2 linked regions of the Pelodiscus sinensis genome follow. The protein of the gene in region 2 purifies or fractionates together with the protein of the main gene of each other region. This does not show direct contact. Links are inferred from orthologs where the notes say so. Each region holds a gene or a part of one and is shown on either strand. Other genes may lie near its edges.

Region 1 (7,202 bases), on a different chromosome or scaffold from region 2:
TGCTAGGTGCTGTACAAACAGAAGAGATAGGCTAGACTACACTAGCAATTCCACAACTAATACTTACGTCAACCCTCACTTTCGGTTTTAAATTGTTGCAACACAGCTCCCAACGAACCTGAAATCACATCAACCACAGACTGTCAGTCTGCCCAACAGCGTATTTCTGAGAGCCAACAGCTAGTATTTCCCCAACAAAACATCGAGAGCTAAGACTTCAGTGGAGTTAAGACAGTTAGATAGTGGCTAACACACACAGATATTGAAAAATTACAGATTCACTTTCTATTACAGAAATAGATCTACACACTGGTAGGAAACTCTGAATCAGCATATACAACAACTGACACCAACTGATTCTCATCTACCTACCCATTAATTTTACAGCTGAGCGGCTAATGTAATTTAGACCAGTCTTCCAGCTGCCTTTTAACGAGTTGTAAGAGCTCTGCAATGGTTTAAAAGAGTCTTCACTTAATTTGCTCACCTATGGATCAGTTCAAGCAGACAAGAGGGTAAATCCTGACTGTGGAATCCAATGGGAATTTTATCACCAACTTCAACGGGGTCAGGATTTCATTGCTGGTTTCTTTTTGGCCTTAATCGGTTTAAAGAACGTTGGGCTTTGAGGGGTTTTTATTGAGGGAGGGACTTTCCGTGGAAAGCAACTCTGCCTGCTCTGGGCTACTGCATGTCTCAAACACTGCAACTCTTAGGAGGGAAGACTGGCTTCTTTTTCTCCAAGGGGCAAGTCCAAAAGCCGCGGTTCAAGAGCCATCAAAGCCACGCTGAACAAGACCTGACTGAGATTGCACACTGATTAGCTCGTCTCATGTAAGCGCCATCAAGCCAGACAGCGTGGGTTAGTTTGCCATGTCACATCGGCAACAGCAGCAGGTACATGCCTGCCCCGTCACTCACTTTCACTAAATAAGGCTGCACCCAGAGGCCCAGAAGCACTTCTTTTCTAGTTGAAACAAGTACAGGGAGGTGATCTGAGCTCAAAGGAGCATGAGCCAAGTGTACAGACTTGGCAGCACGAAGATGGGTGAAGTTCCCATTTCACCCACCAGCTCCGGAGCAGAAAGCGGTGACCTATGCTAGTTGTTAGAACAAGAAGCAAACTCCCCAGCCCTCCTCGAGCTAGGCCTGATGTGGTGCTCAGGTTGCTTCCTGCAGCACACTACCTGTTCAGTCTGGGTATACATGACCTTTAAAAGAATAAATCCATAGGAGTGTGAGTGACCTTGAGAAAAAGCAGCTCAGGTCATTTCTCTGCAAATGCCAACAGGACAGAAAGCATCTTGACACCTTCTAACTGCCAGAGATAAAGGACAGCTCATCTCATACTCTTTTCAAGTGGCACAGCCAGCCCTGTTGCAGGTTTGCAATCCCACTAATAGGTGCCTCCGTATCAAGGGTCAGGGAGTCACTACACACACAACCTTGTGACTGTTCAAAGCTGACACCACCATCACCCTCTTAGGGTAAAGAAAAGACTCTTAATAATACACCCTTGGCACAACAATGCCAGACTTGCTGCCTAAGCGGGACACATACTGTGCCATTAACTCACAGCACCAGTATACTGTGCACGCTATCCCATTCACAGTAGCAAAGCCACTACCTGCTACAGATAGTTAGGAAAGGGGATACAAATGGGGCAAAAGAACCATTCAATGGCCTCTCAATGACCTCCCAAGGTTCCTTCCAGTCCTGTAATTCCATGACAAGCACCACGCTGGCCATACTGGGCTGATCGCACCTCTGCCAAGAAGCGAGTGGGGAAAAAGTTCCCCAAACCAACAAGGGACACATGAGCAACAAGCCAGTGCCTGGAGCTCCAGGGGGCTGCACTCCTAGGAGTGGGGAGGTACACAGCAGAATCAGACAGGGAGAGGGGAGTTAAGAAAGGGCAGCTGGATAGGAGCCAGCCCCAGGGCAGAAGGGAAGGGAAAGTCTGACAGCACATGAGGCAGCAAAGACAAAGGGGCTATCTTGTCGCACCACCCAGGGCAGCAGGGAAAAGGTGACTCCAGGCAGGGGTGGGCAGTCTGTTTGGCAGCACACGTGGCTGGGGTGACCCCGGCGAGCAAGGGGGGGGGCGCGGGGGTGACATCACGTGGGCAGTCAAGCAGCACACGGGGCAGGGGTGACCCCAGGCGGGTAAGGGGGAGGGCTGGGGTGACACCACGTGGGCAGTCTGGCAGCCCAGGGGGCAGGGGTGACCCCGGGCGGGCAAGGGGGGGCTGGCAGTCTGGCAGCCCAGGGGGCAGGGGTGACCCCGGGCGGGCAAGGGGGGGGCTGGCAGTCTGGCAGCCCAGGGGGCAGGGGTGACCCCGGGCGGGCAAGGGGGGGGCTGGCAGTCTGGCAGCACAGGGGGCAGGGATGACCCCGGGCGGGCGAGGGGGGGCTGGCAGTCTGGCAGCCCAGGGGGCAGGGGTGACCCCGGGCGGGCGAGGGGGGGCTGGCAGTCTGGCAGCCCAGGGGGCAGGGGTGACCCCGGGCGGGCGAGGGGGGGCTGGCAGTCTGGCAGCACAGGGGGCAGGGGTGACCCCGGGCGGGCGAGGGGGGGCTGGCAGTCTGGCAGCCCAGGGGGCAGGGGTGACCCCGGGCGGGCGAGGGGGGGCTGGCAGTCTGGCAGCACAGGGGGCAGGGGTGACCCCGGGCGGGCGGGGGTAGCAGCCGGGCAGCACACGGCGCAGGGGGGAGGGGGCTGCCCCTCGAGAGCTGACAGCTGCCCTACCACGCTGGCGCCTGCTCCCCGGCGCTCAGCCCACACAAGGCGGCGGCTCCACGCCCGGCTGCCGCCCCCCCGGGGAACGCGGCCCGGCCCCGGTACTCACGATCCGTCCGGTGCTCGCCGCCCCCGGTGCAGAGCCCTCGTGCGCGCCGTGCCCTGCCCCCACCCCGGCCGCTCCCCGCCAGCCGCGCTGCCCCCACGTGCTGCCCGACCGGGCCCGTCCGAACACTGAGACATTCAACCGCTACACTAAGGCCCGCACGCCCCGCCCCCCGGCGCGAGGCAGCCACATCTCGCGAGACCTGCCGGCGAGTGCCATTCAGCCGGCCCCGACTTACTTGGCGGCGGTGGGGGAGGGGGAGCGGGAAGCAGCTGCGCATGCGCCTGTGGGACACGCCTTTCCCCCAAGGGTACAGCACAGGGGAGAGCACGTGGAGTCTGTGCTCCTGCACCCGGCCCCCACCCTCTGCCCCTCCTCACCTTCCGCCCCGCCCCCACCCCTGACCTGCCCCTCTGAACCCCCCATCCCTTGCCCCGATCTCCCACCAATGTGCCCTCTGAGTTGTTTCCAATCCATGCGTGGAATAAATTTTGTTCTGTGCACCAGGGCACGCGTGGATGTGCACTACAAGTAGTAACAACATGCTGCTGGCTGCGGGTCGTTGTGGGTGCTCTGCTCACCAGCTGGGTGGCACCCGCTTCACTTTTCACTTGTGTGTGGCCCCCGACTGATTTTTCTGTGGGTCAGCCCCCGCCCCCTCGACCCAAAAAAGATTCCCCACCCCTGGTGCATATGATAGAAACCAAGCTGAAGAGGGGGGTGCCAGTTGCATCGTGAGTTCTGAAATTTATGCCCCACTCTGGCACCAGATCTTGGCAATATACACCTCCCTTCTTCTCCCCCCATCACTCACCCAGACCCCTGGGCTGAGCTCCTGAGCCTCTCAAGTACTATGTGCCCTGGGGAGACCCGTGACCATCCCACAGCTGGTGCTGCCAGGGCAGACCAGGGCTATGTTCTATTTTGAGTGCAGTAGCTGGAGGACAGCAGCAGTCCGTCTCCTTGAGCTGGGAATTAGCCCCAGCCGGATGGCTGGGTGGACACTCTAAGTGTTCCCTCTCATTTTTCACACCCACATGAGGAATGAATTTTGTTATGTGCACCAATATGGTGTGACACATCGTCTCCATATTGGTGCACTTAAAAATATTCCTGTGGCGGGGGGGGGGGGGGGGGGGCATTTAATAGGCATTCAGCATGTTGGTTGAGGGGAATGTGATGGCTCTGGCCGGGGTGGTGGGGGGGGGAGGGTTATGGATTCAAGGTGGAGCCAGGGACGAAGGGCTGGGGCAGAGGACTGGAGTGCAGGGGGGAGGGTTCTGGCTCAGGGTGCAGGCTGAGTGGTGCTAGGGAGAAGAGGTTTGGGGTGCAGGCTGCCCTGAGGCTACAGTGGGGAGTAAAGACACACACACTCTCTAACTCTCCTTGTAGCAGGACTGGGGCTGACGGGGAGGAGGGGACCCCTCCCCTGGCTACAACAGGTTTGGGCTGGGTCATGGTCAGGGTGCCTGTCCCCTGGCTACAGTAGGGGTGGAGTCGGTGGAGGGGCACCTGTTGCCCTACACACACACCTGCCATGGCAGGGCTGGGGAAGGGGTATAGCAGCAGGTCCGAGGCGAATGTCCGTGTGTCATTTAATAGGCAGCTGCACAGCTTAGAACAGGGGGCTCGGACTCACGGCCCAGGGGCCCGAGCAGTACCACGGCCTGGCCCTCACACGGCTGCTGGCACGTGAGTCCCTGCAGCCCTGAGGAGAATGTCCAAGCCTTTCCCTCAAGTCCAGTCTCTGCTTCACCCCCCACGAGGCCTCTTCCCACCCTTGCTCCTTCTCCCCCAACCTCCTCCCCTAAGGAACGGGGCCTCGGGGATCACAGGAGGCCTGGCGTGGGGTAGCAGCAGGGATTGGGCCCCCCGCACTCACCATGGCAACAGGAGCTGCGGGGAAGTGGAGCGACGCAGCAGCCTCGGCTCTGCTCCGCTGCCATCCCCCAGGCCAGCGGCGGCAGGAAGCAGAGCGCCTCACCCGAGAATGGGGAACCATCCCATTCATAGGTTGGGGTGGCCACGGCCGGGCTCCCCAAAGTGACCATGCCCAACCATCCTATGGATGGTTCTGCACACACCTCCCCCGGGACACAGGGATGTGGGGCAGAGCTCGTGACTGGAACCTGCTCTTGCCCTACTGGGGGTGGTGCTGGGAGTCCCTGGTGGGATGTTAAAATCACTTGGGGGCAGCAAGTGGGGTTGGGGGACACACCGGGGGGGGGGGAGAGGGGAGTGCCTGGGCTGGCAGGCAGGGCTAGGAGATGTGTGTGTGGGGGTGAACACGAGGAGACACTCCCCCCCACTCAGAGCCCTGTCAGAGAAGTGCACACTAGGAGAATTTGAGGCCTGGCACTGGCCCTAAGGTAAATTGAGATTGAGACCCCTGACTTGGAGGGAACTTGGACGCTAGTGTGCGCTCTGAGGCTACGTCTACACTACGAGTTTTCTTGGCAAAAAATATGCTATCAGTATACCTCCTTTTGGGGGGCATAAGGATCTTGTGGGGGTTTTGCACAAAAAATGTCCACACTGCTTGTTTTTGTGCAAAAACCTCAGCGCAAAAACGGATTGGCAGAAAATATGCAAATGAGATAATGACTCATGCAAATGAGTCCCTCATTAGCATATTTTTTGCCAAGAAAACTCATCGTGTAGACGTAGCCTTTCACTGCACAGTTGGCGAGGTTATTACAATAATCCACTTTGCCCTAGTGCACATGACACCCTGACTAGCAGGAATATTCAGAGGGTATCAAAATAAAGGAGCTCCCATCCTTTCCCCCCCCACCCATCTCCAGTTTGGAAAGAACACTTCACTTCATGTCCTCTTCTGGGCTGGTGGATTCGCTGATTCAGTCTCCTTTAACAACTGGACATATGCTCCTCTGTTTAAATCTTTCTGTCCGAGGTACCTCACAGTGTCCGGGCATCCTCCTCAAAGCCTCCTTCTTCAGTCATCACTGGTATCTGAGTCACTTCCTTGGAAGAGCTAAAAATGGCTCACTGTCTCCTTGTGTTTCCCTTCATGTTAATTAATTTGTTTATCTGTGTTCAAATACTCGGTGCTACACAGGCGGCACAGTTCAATCACCTAAAGAAATCAAACCGTTAAATGTGCCGTTCAAACAAGCAGCCAGTGACAACTCAACGCCATTATGGAATCTTAGACGATTAGGGTTGGAAGAGACCTCAGGAGACCTTAGTCCAACCAAGGCCGTTCCTACCACTATGCAAAATATGCACCAAATTGCACCAAATTTCATGGTGCCCTAGGCAGGTATGGGCTCCAGCAGCCAGGGCCCCCACCATAGGCTGTGCCCAGTAGGGCCATCTCTATAAGGAGTGTGGAGCCTGGGACACCCCCCGACCTCACTTCACCTCATTCCAGCTCCAACCACACTCTACCCCTTCCCTAAGTGCCCCCTGCTCTGCCCCAACCTGCCTCTTCCCACCGCTGCTGCATCTCCTCCCACCCCTTCACCCAAATAACGAGGCTGGGGCTGGGTTGCTCCACTCTGTTGCTGCAGGTGAGTGCTGCCTGGAACAGGTATGACTCTTGCTGCCAACCTGCCTTGCTCCTGCCCCCACAGCTCTGGGTCTACTTCCCACAGCTCCTGGCCCTGCATTGCTCCTCAGGGACGGTGGCTGCATAGGGCATCAGAGCTAGGGCCAACTCCCTGCTTAACCAATCCCAACTAAATCACCCCAGACAGGACTTTGTCAAGCCTTAAAAACCTCTAGGGATGGAGATTCCACCACCTCTCTAGGTAACCCATCCCAGTGCTTCCCCACCCTCCTAGGGAAATAGTTTTTCCCAATATCCAACCTAGACCTCCCTCACTGTAACTTGAGACCATTGCTCAAGTTCTGTCATCTATCACCATTGAGAGCAACCTGGCTCCATCCTCTTTGGAACCTCCTGGACAGGTAGTGGAAGGCTGGTACCAAATCCTCCCTTTACACTTACTTTCTGCAGACTAAGTACACATTTTTCAATAAGCATTGTAAAAGTGAAACTAAGAGACACATTAGCAAGCAACTACAGCCACTGAACATGGCAGGCTATGGCTGAATCAGTATGGGGATGGAAAACTTAAAGGAGAATCCATCTTTAGCAAAGTTATTGCTTGCCAGTTTGGTAGGCCCTCTGTTTTAATGGGAAATTTTATACATTTCCTTTTTTGACCCATTGGATTGTGTTACATTGCACTGTTAACCAGTTGCCCATTTCACCATAGAGAAGGTTACCTTTGAATAGTAAGTAAGCGGCGGTTGTAAAATACTTTCAGTAGGAGAAATATGTATCAATTATTACAATAAGCCAGTTTAGCACTGTAGGTAATTCTTTATGTT
Region 2 (7,926 bases):
AGGCCAATTAGGACCTGGGGGCGGGGGAGTGCACGAAGTCTTCTCCCACTGCCAGGGGCATTGGTGCCTAGGGATAATCTCTGGGGGCGGAGGGGGGGGGGAAGCAAAGACTTCACCTGCTCCCCTGCCCTCAGACCAATCTGTGGGTAGGAAAGCGGGGAAGTATCGTGGCCCTGCTGTCACAATGATTTGTGACACCGCCCCTTCCAGTTGAGGCCCTGCTCCTTCCGGTGCAGCCAGGGGCCCCTTCAAAAATTTCTGAAATGGCCCCCAGTAAAAAATTATTGCCCACCCCTGGTTTAGCTCAACTTGCTTTTAAATATCTTCAGTGATGGCAATTCCACAACCTCCCTATGCATTTATCCCAGTTTTAATCACGCTGACTGTTAGGAAGTTTTTCATGTGTTGATGAGCCAGCATGGCTCCCTCTGTCCCACCAAGCAGCCGGGAACCTCCTTCAATTCCCCTCTCCCTCCCCAACATATGCCCCCCCCATACCTCTCAATTCCCTGCCATGACTTCTGCACCCTCCACTTCCCACCCTAAGCCCCTCCTCTGACCCAACCCTGACTCCTACAACCCCCAATTTCAAGCCCTGAGCCCCTTCATACCTCCAGTCCTGACTCCTACAACCTCCCCATCCCACTACTCCAGCCCCCTTCCCTGAACCCCTACTTAATGACCCTACTTAAAATCATGAGTGGTGTGGAGAGGGCCGATAAAGAAAAGTTATTTATTGGTTCCCTAAATAGAAGAACTAGAGGACACTAAATGAAATTAATGGGTAGCAGGTTTAAAACTAATAAAAGAAAGTTCTTCTTCACGCAGCCTGTAGTCAACCTGTGGAACTCCTTGCCAGAGGAGGCTGTGAAGGCTAGGACTATAATAGAGTTTAAAGAGAAGGTAGATAATTTCATGGAGGTTAGGTCCATAAAAGGCTATTAGCCAGGGGATAAAATGGTGTCCTTGGCCTCTGTTTGTCAGAGGCTGGAGAGGGATGGCAGGAGACAAATTGCTTGATCATTGTCTTCAGTCCACCCTCTTTAGGGCACCTGGTGCTGGCCACTGTCGGCAGACAGGATACTGGGCTAGATGGACCTTTGGTCTGACCCAGTACGGCCATTCTTATGTTATGACCCAAGTAACACTGGGTAAATGTGCTAGCAAATAATAAGACAATACATTCATTCCCTCCCTCCCCCCTATATATATTACATATAGTAGAGATTTGTGTGTCTTGTTCTGTGAGTCCATTTGTTTAAGAACTCCTCCTAAACATTAACAGCTAAGACCACCAAATTTGGTATGCAGCTTTTTTCTCTTATCCTAACTTAAAGCAAATTCATGGTTTGGTTGTGCAAGAGAACAGGATGTGCCTGGAATTTGACTGTTTTCCATTATATAGAAAAGGAGGGGGCTGTTCAGAGAGACACAATACTGCAGAATGAGCACTGGGGGCAGTGAGCACAGGGAACAGCTATACTGCAGAGTGACCACTTGGGGAAGCCGCACCAGGAAGGAGGTTGCCAGCTGGAGACAGGGCTTGCCTTCTTGCTGGACAATGAAGGTGGCACCTCTTCCCCACTGCTCCCCCCAGCCCCCAACACTACACCGGGGAGAGGGAGAAGCTCTGCTGGTCCCACTATCATAACTCTCCCCCCCACAAGCGCCACCAGGGATGCGCAGCACATCCTTCCCCCCCCCCGCTCTCCCCTCCCCCACACGGGCCACAGCCAAACCCCTCCCCCATTCCCCAGTACTGCATGGCTGCCCTACATGGTCACGCCCAGCCAGCCCGCACAGCCCCTCCTCCCCAACCTTGGACTGGGGAACACCACAGGAGCTGGACTGCACAGCCCCCTTCCCATTCCCGGGCCCAGAGTGCGCTGGCAAGGGGCCTCTGTGGTGCCTCACCCTCTCCAACCCCAGGCTGGACACAAATTCCTAAATAACTTATTTGTTTTACAGTAGAGTATGTACACAGCAGTGATAACCAGTTTGATCTCATTAACTTTGTTATTTTTTGGCTTGAATTATGAACTCTGAATATTTTGTGTGTTTTAGAAAGTAAGGGGGGGCATGCACCTGGTTGAGCCCTATTTCTGATCATACATATTTTCTACAATATAAATAAAATTGCACTCACGAATTAAGATTATAAAATTAAAGTGATAGATAACTAGTGGTATAAATCAAAATTAATACACTGCATTAATCTGAAATAGTAAACAATGAATTTATGCTCTAGTTTTAGTGTTCAAATTACCACAAAATGGATTATGAAATATCTAATAAAAATTAAATGACACTATAATTTTTTAAAAGATGTCATGTAATTAACCCCCCAGTCAGCATAACATAATATCCACCCTTCCAAAATTAAAGACAAAGAAAACCCACAATTTTAAACAAGTAAATTATCTACTGTTGCTAAAACTATCTAATTTAGATCTGGAATACTGGGAAGAAAAGCTTACAAAAAACACAGAAATTAAGTTAACAACACTTGTCTAAGAAAAAGGAAGCTCACATATGAAACTCTGTTACCAGACACCAAGTCCCTGTGAAAGAGTATCAAATTTCCACCTGCATGTTGCAATAGCTCTTGCTTTAAAGCTACATTTACTGTTACACTATAAAAAGGCTGATAGAATTTACAGTAGTTTTGTCTATTTACTACATAAAATCTTTTAATTACCATAAAAACTGAATATTAAATATCTACAGTACACTTACTTGATCTGTCCCATAGGGCAGCAAGTTCAGAGAAATGATGGCTCTCATTTTCCAGAGCCACTTTCTGTTCTTGTAAACTACCCTTAGAGTGCCTATGAAAAAGTCGGTTAGCAAACCCTTCAAGTCTCTGCAAAGCAGTGGATGTCCCTGTGCACTGGTTACAAGATAGTTCCCGCTGCGCTGCCATCTATATTCATTGATAATTTACTTTAAAAAACATTAGACAATCTATAAAGGAGCTCAAACAACTTAAACAGAAGCTAGGAACTTATGCATGTGTCAAACTTCCTGAATGCAGTGTTTCTAACCACTACTGCTGTTCTGCTTCCTGTTAATACAAAACAGCACGTTATGGTGCTTTTCTTAGCAAAACTCTGTTGTATCTGCTAAAGGTGGCGGTTAAAAGAGCTGTAATAGTTGTCTTAAACTCTGAGTTTAACAACTTTTTTCATATAAAAAAACACATGACAATGAAAATACACAACTGCATGTGATATAAAGTGAAGGAAAAAATCAGAATACAGATAAAATTTAAAAATAGCTCCCATAAACATCCATCAACTAAAAAGTATCCCTACATTTTTTTTACAACAGTACAATTTTCTAAGCAAGAAGGTTAACTTGTTAAAACAAATGATGTTTTATGGTAAATAAAAATTAACAAAGTTACCACTTTTGTCCTTTTACATTTAGAAAGCCATAATGGAGTAAGCTAAAGAATAGTTCTTGTGTAACAAGAAGCCAGATTCTGCCAACCTTACTCATGCTGAGTTTTAGCTTCCTCCAAATGTCTATCAACAAGTCAGTGGGGCCACTTACTGAGTAAGGTAACATCCAGTCCTTAATAAAGAAATATATCCATTTTCCAACCATCCCAGAAGAAAAACAGAAGGCAATGGAGAAGATGTAATTAGCTTGCAATTGTATACATTTAATATATCTGGGAATATCTAGCAGTAAGTTGTACAGTGATCATCATAGTTCTCCTCTTAATCATTTCCACCTATTTAGGAGGCCTGCTATTAGGGACACAAAATCCCATTTAAAATGTTAACCAGTTAAACGATGTTTAACCACTTCAGAAGAGTAGCTGAGTTAGTCTGTAACTGGAAAAACTTAAAAGACAATGAATAGTATAGCAGCACCTTAAAAACTAACAAAACATGTAGATGATATCATGAACTTTCAAGGGTACAACCCACTTCTTCAGATGAATGGAGTTTAAGGTCCAGTTCCAAGATAAACAGGAGACTGGGGGCAAGGAGAAGGAGGGGAAAAGGAGGGAAAAAGTCAATAAAAGTATCCATGTTACAAGAAGCTGAGAAAAACAATTTGCACCTGCTCTAAGTACCCGTTTGTTTTTTTAAGTCATTAGGATGTGGAAGGTAGTGTGCTAGGCAGGTAATGTCTTTATTCATACCTTTGTGATGGGTCCCAAACCTGTAAATCAGGGCAACTCAATACAGCCAGGTCCCTGCAGGGGGCGCCTGGTCCCTGCAGCATGGCAGGCCTGGTGCAGCCCAGTGGGGGCTGCTCCAGTTGGGCTCAGCAGGACCTATTACACTGTTTCCTGGGTGTGCTCCATCCTGGCCAGCCCTGGGGCTCCACAGCATGAGTCTGCTCTGACCTTGATGGGCTGGAATGCCCCCCAGGAGGCTGGCCGGGTGTGAAGCTGCCCAATTAACCAGTTACCTGTTTACATCCTTAGGTGCTATCAATCCTCTATCTCTGCACCTGATCCCTATCAACCTGTTGCTGGGACTTCACCCATCTCCCCACCATGAGAATTAAGGGAGATGGAAAAGGAACACGGTGCGGGGGAATTCATTCTCCGCTGTACCCGTCCATAACACATACTTGCACTGGACATCTGCCACATTTGTTAATTATTACGTTGCAATATTTTGACCCAAATTAGCCTAGGCTACCAGGCCCTGACCTGCTGTGGGTAAAGTAAAACACAAAAGAACAATCCATTTTGGCCAATTGGGCACTGAGAGAAAAATCCCTTCCCAGCCCTTAAGAAAAAGGTTACTCATAGCAGATTAGGAAAAAATCCATTTGTGGGAGGGCACGGGCAACTAAGATCTAATGCAGTGAGAGAAGACTTCTCCAGAACTTCCCAGGGTATAAATACTTCCTCCTCCCACCTGATTACACCCTCTCACTTGTGGTGAAACCACCTTCTGTTCTTCTATGCTTTGTCAAGGTCAACTTTTTCCCTCTCTACCACCAATTGTACATGGGAGAGGGGCACTGCATTGTATATTGGCCAAATACATAAGGGTATGTCTACACTACCCCGCTAGTTCGAACTAGCGGGGGTAATGTAGTCATCCGCACTTGCAAATGAAGCCCGGGATTTGAATGTCCCGGGCTTCATTTGCATGAAGCCGGCCGGCGCCATTTTTAAATGCCGGCTAGTTCGGACCCCGTGCCGCGCGGCTACACGCGGCACAGACTAGCTAGTTCGGATTAGGCTTCCTAATCCAAACTAGCTGTACACCTCGTTCCACGAGGCATACAGCTAGTTCGGATTAGAAGCCTAATCCGAACTAGCTAGTCCGTGCCACGTGTAGCCGCGCGGCACGGGGTCCGAACTAGCCGGCATTTAAAAATGGCGCCGGCCGGCTTCATGCAAATGAAGCCCGGGAAATTCAAATCCCGGGCTTCATTTGCAAGTGCGGATGACTACATTACCCCCGCTAGTTCGAACTAGCGGGGTAGTGTAGACATACCCTAATATATATACACACACAACAAAGGATAAATAGACAAGTCAGATATCAGAAATGGCAATACACGCAAACCCGCAGGAGAACATTTTAATCTACCTGGACACTCATTAATGGATTTAAAATATTCTACAAAGAAATTTCAAAAACCAACACCACAGAGAGAGTGCAGAACTGGCCTTCATATGCAAGTTTGACGCTGTTTCTCATGGCTTGAACAAAGACATTAACTGGATGGGCCATTATAAAATCTGCTTTCCTAACATTCAACACTCAAGTGACATAAAAAGTTAAGTATGGGAGAAGGATGTTAAATTGCAGTTATCTGGCTAATCATGTAGTTGATAAAATTTGTATCAACTATAAGATTAGTCGATAAGGGGCACTCTGTAGAGCCATAGCAAGGGTAGCTCCTGGAGCTGGGACTGACCAGCCCTAGCCACCACAAACTGAGTCTGCTCCAGCCACTGTAAACAGGGGTTGCTTGGCAGCAGCAGCCCCTGTCTGCGGGCAGGCCCCAGTTCCCCAATGAGACCCCTGCGAACAGGGGCTTCTGCCAGAGTAGCCTCCCCTATCCTCACCCTGCTACCTCTGATAGGGACAACGGAGGAAGGGGGTAGGTGGCACCCCAGAGACTAGTCAAGTAGTAAACTACTCACTAGCATCCCTAGTATGGGACACTTCCAGTCCACTCAATTAGCCTCTTTAGCACCAGCACTACAACTGATAGGTCCTTTCCCCTCACCCTTCTTTTTCTGTCAAACTGTGAGGGTCCCCTTTTCTCTCCACTCTGCTCTGCTCATCTGAGCAAGTGGGTTTTGCAAACAAAACCTCGTGTCTGTCTCTCTCTCTTGCAAAAATTTTCCTGTGGGACAATAGTGACATCATCACATCACTCTGCATTGTCCCCCACCCCCAGCCTTGGCAGTCTCTGAAGGGGAAGAGATGGCCATGGCTCAGAGTTCTGCCCTGGCCTCTCCTTGGGGACCCCCTGGGCTCCTTGCTGGCCTCCTGGTTCCCCTGCAGGTGGGTTAGGGAGAAGCGGCAGCTCCAGCTCCCCCCTTTGCCTCTCGCTTCTGAGCTCTGGCTTCCGTGGCCCAGCACCTCCTACCCCAACTCCCAGGGAACTTCTGCTGCCTGCCTCAGGATGTGTGCTTGGGCTACCGCCTGCCTGGCGCTCCAGACTCCACTGGCTTCCTGTGGGGGGTCAAAGGGGAGAGAAAGCCCCACAACTCTGTGCTGGATCTGGCTTGCGGGGAAGCATGCGCACTGCTGCTTCCCTTTCCCCTCCCCGGCTGGTGCACCTATGAACTTGTTGGAGGCTTTTCCCGCTACTCAGACAGCTGCAGGTAAAGCCTCTGGTGCCTGGAAGCAGCATGCCACATGAAAACAAGTAAGAGCCCCTGCAGCCTTGGCCCTGTCTCCCCAGTGCCTCACACGTTCCCTCCCCTGCCAAGCCTCACACTCCCTGCCTGCTCCTGCCTCCTATCCCCAGCCGTCACCCTGCCCCCAACCTACTCCTGCCCCCTCTGCCAAGCCAGACTCCCTGCCCAATTGGGGCCTAACCCCCTTCTGGCCACCGCATCCTGTCCCTGGCCCCAATACTGGGGTAGGGCCTGCGGTCCAGCCACCATCTGGCTGCAGGAAGGGTTGGTGGTAGTCCCCCTCCTGCTGAGGCATGGGCAGGAGAGGAGGCCACGATGTGGCTGCAACAGAGTGAGGTTGGCAAGTATAATAAGCAGGCAGTACAGCCCCCTAGTGATACTATATATATATATATATATATATATATATATATATATATATATATATATATATATATAATGTTAGTCTCTAAGCTGCTACAGGACCACTCGTTTTTTTACTGATACAGTAACTCCTCGCTTAACATGTGCCCGCTTAACACGTTTTCGTGATAGCATGATTTTTTTTGGGAACATTTTTCAAACAACATGACCCGTCCCCGCAATAACATGATTTTCCCTAGGGCCAGCCGGTGGCCGGCAGCTGAGAAAGGCTTTCTCTGCAAAGCGGCACAGGTTCTTCACTCGCTGTGCTGTTCCCCACCGACCCGTTCTGGCCGGATGCTTTGTTCCCTCTCCTCTGCCCCCCCCCGCTTGCAGCGGGCAGCTGAATTTCCCCAGCTGGCTGGTCACTGGCAGCTGTGCAGGGCTTACCCTGCCTCCAGAGGTTCTCTGCGCCATTCCTCGGTGACCTCCTCTGGCTGGATGCCTCGCTCCCTCTCCTCCGCCCTCCGCTTGAGGCTGGGTTTCCCAGGGCTTCGTCTGCCTCCTTACAAAGCGGCGGAGATTTGCCGCTTGCCATGCAGTTCCCCGGTGACCCCCTCTGGCCAGATGCAAGGCATCAGTCTGGCCCTTTCCCCTCCCTATCTCCACCAGCCAGGGTCCCTTCTTCCTCCCTCATCTCCGCCAGCCCTGTACTTTATCTCCCTCCC

What was found.
Region 1: the proteins of PRKACB (region 2) and AKAP1 purify together in Homo sapiens (affinity purification with mass spectrometry; 4 studies listed by BioGRID and IntAct, counting the BioPlex papers as one, with this or other methods). This does not show direct contact. The link is inferred for Pelodiscus sinensis from reciprocal best matches to the Homo sapiens genes PRKACB and AKAP1.

Annotation. Positions count from the first base shown.
Region 1 is NC_134731.1:10,350,047-10,357,248, forward strand, and holds the start of AKAP1 (A-kinase anchor protein 1, mitochondrial), read right to left. Parts: upstream 3,005-7,202; 5' UTR 2,847-3,004; intron 1-2,846.
Region 2 is NC_134719.1:29,277,951-29,285,876, reverse strand, and holds the start of PRKACB (cAMP-dependent protein kinase catalytic subunit beta), read right to left. Parts: upstream 3,020-7,926; 5' UTR 2,924-3,019; coding exon 2,737-2,923; intron 1-2,736. UniProt on the Homo sapiens protein: Mediates cAMP-dependent signaling triggered by receptor binding to GPCRs.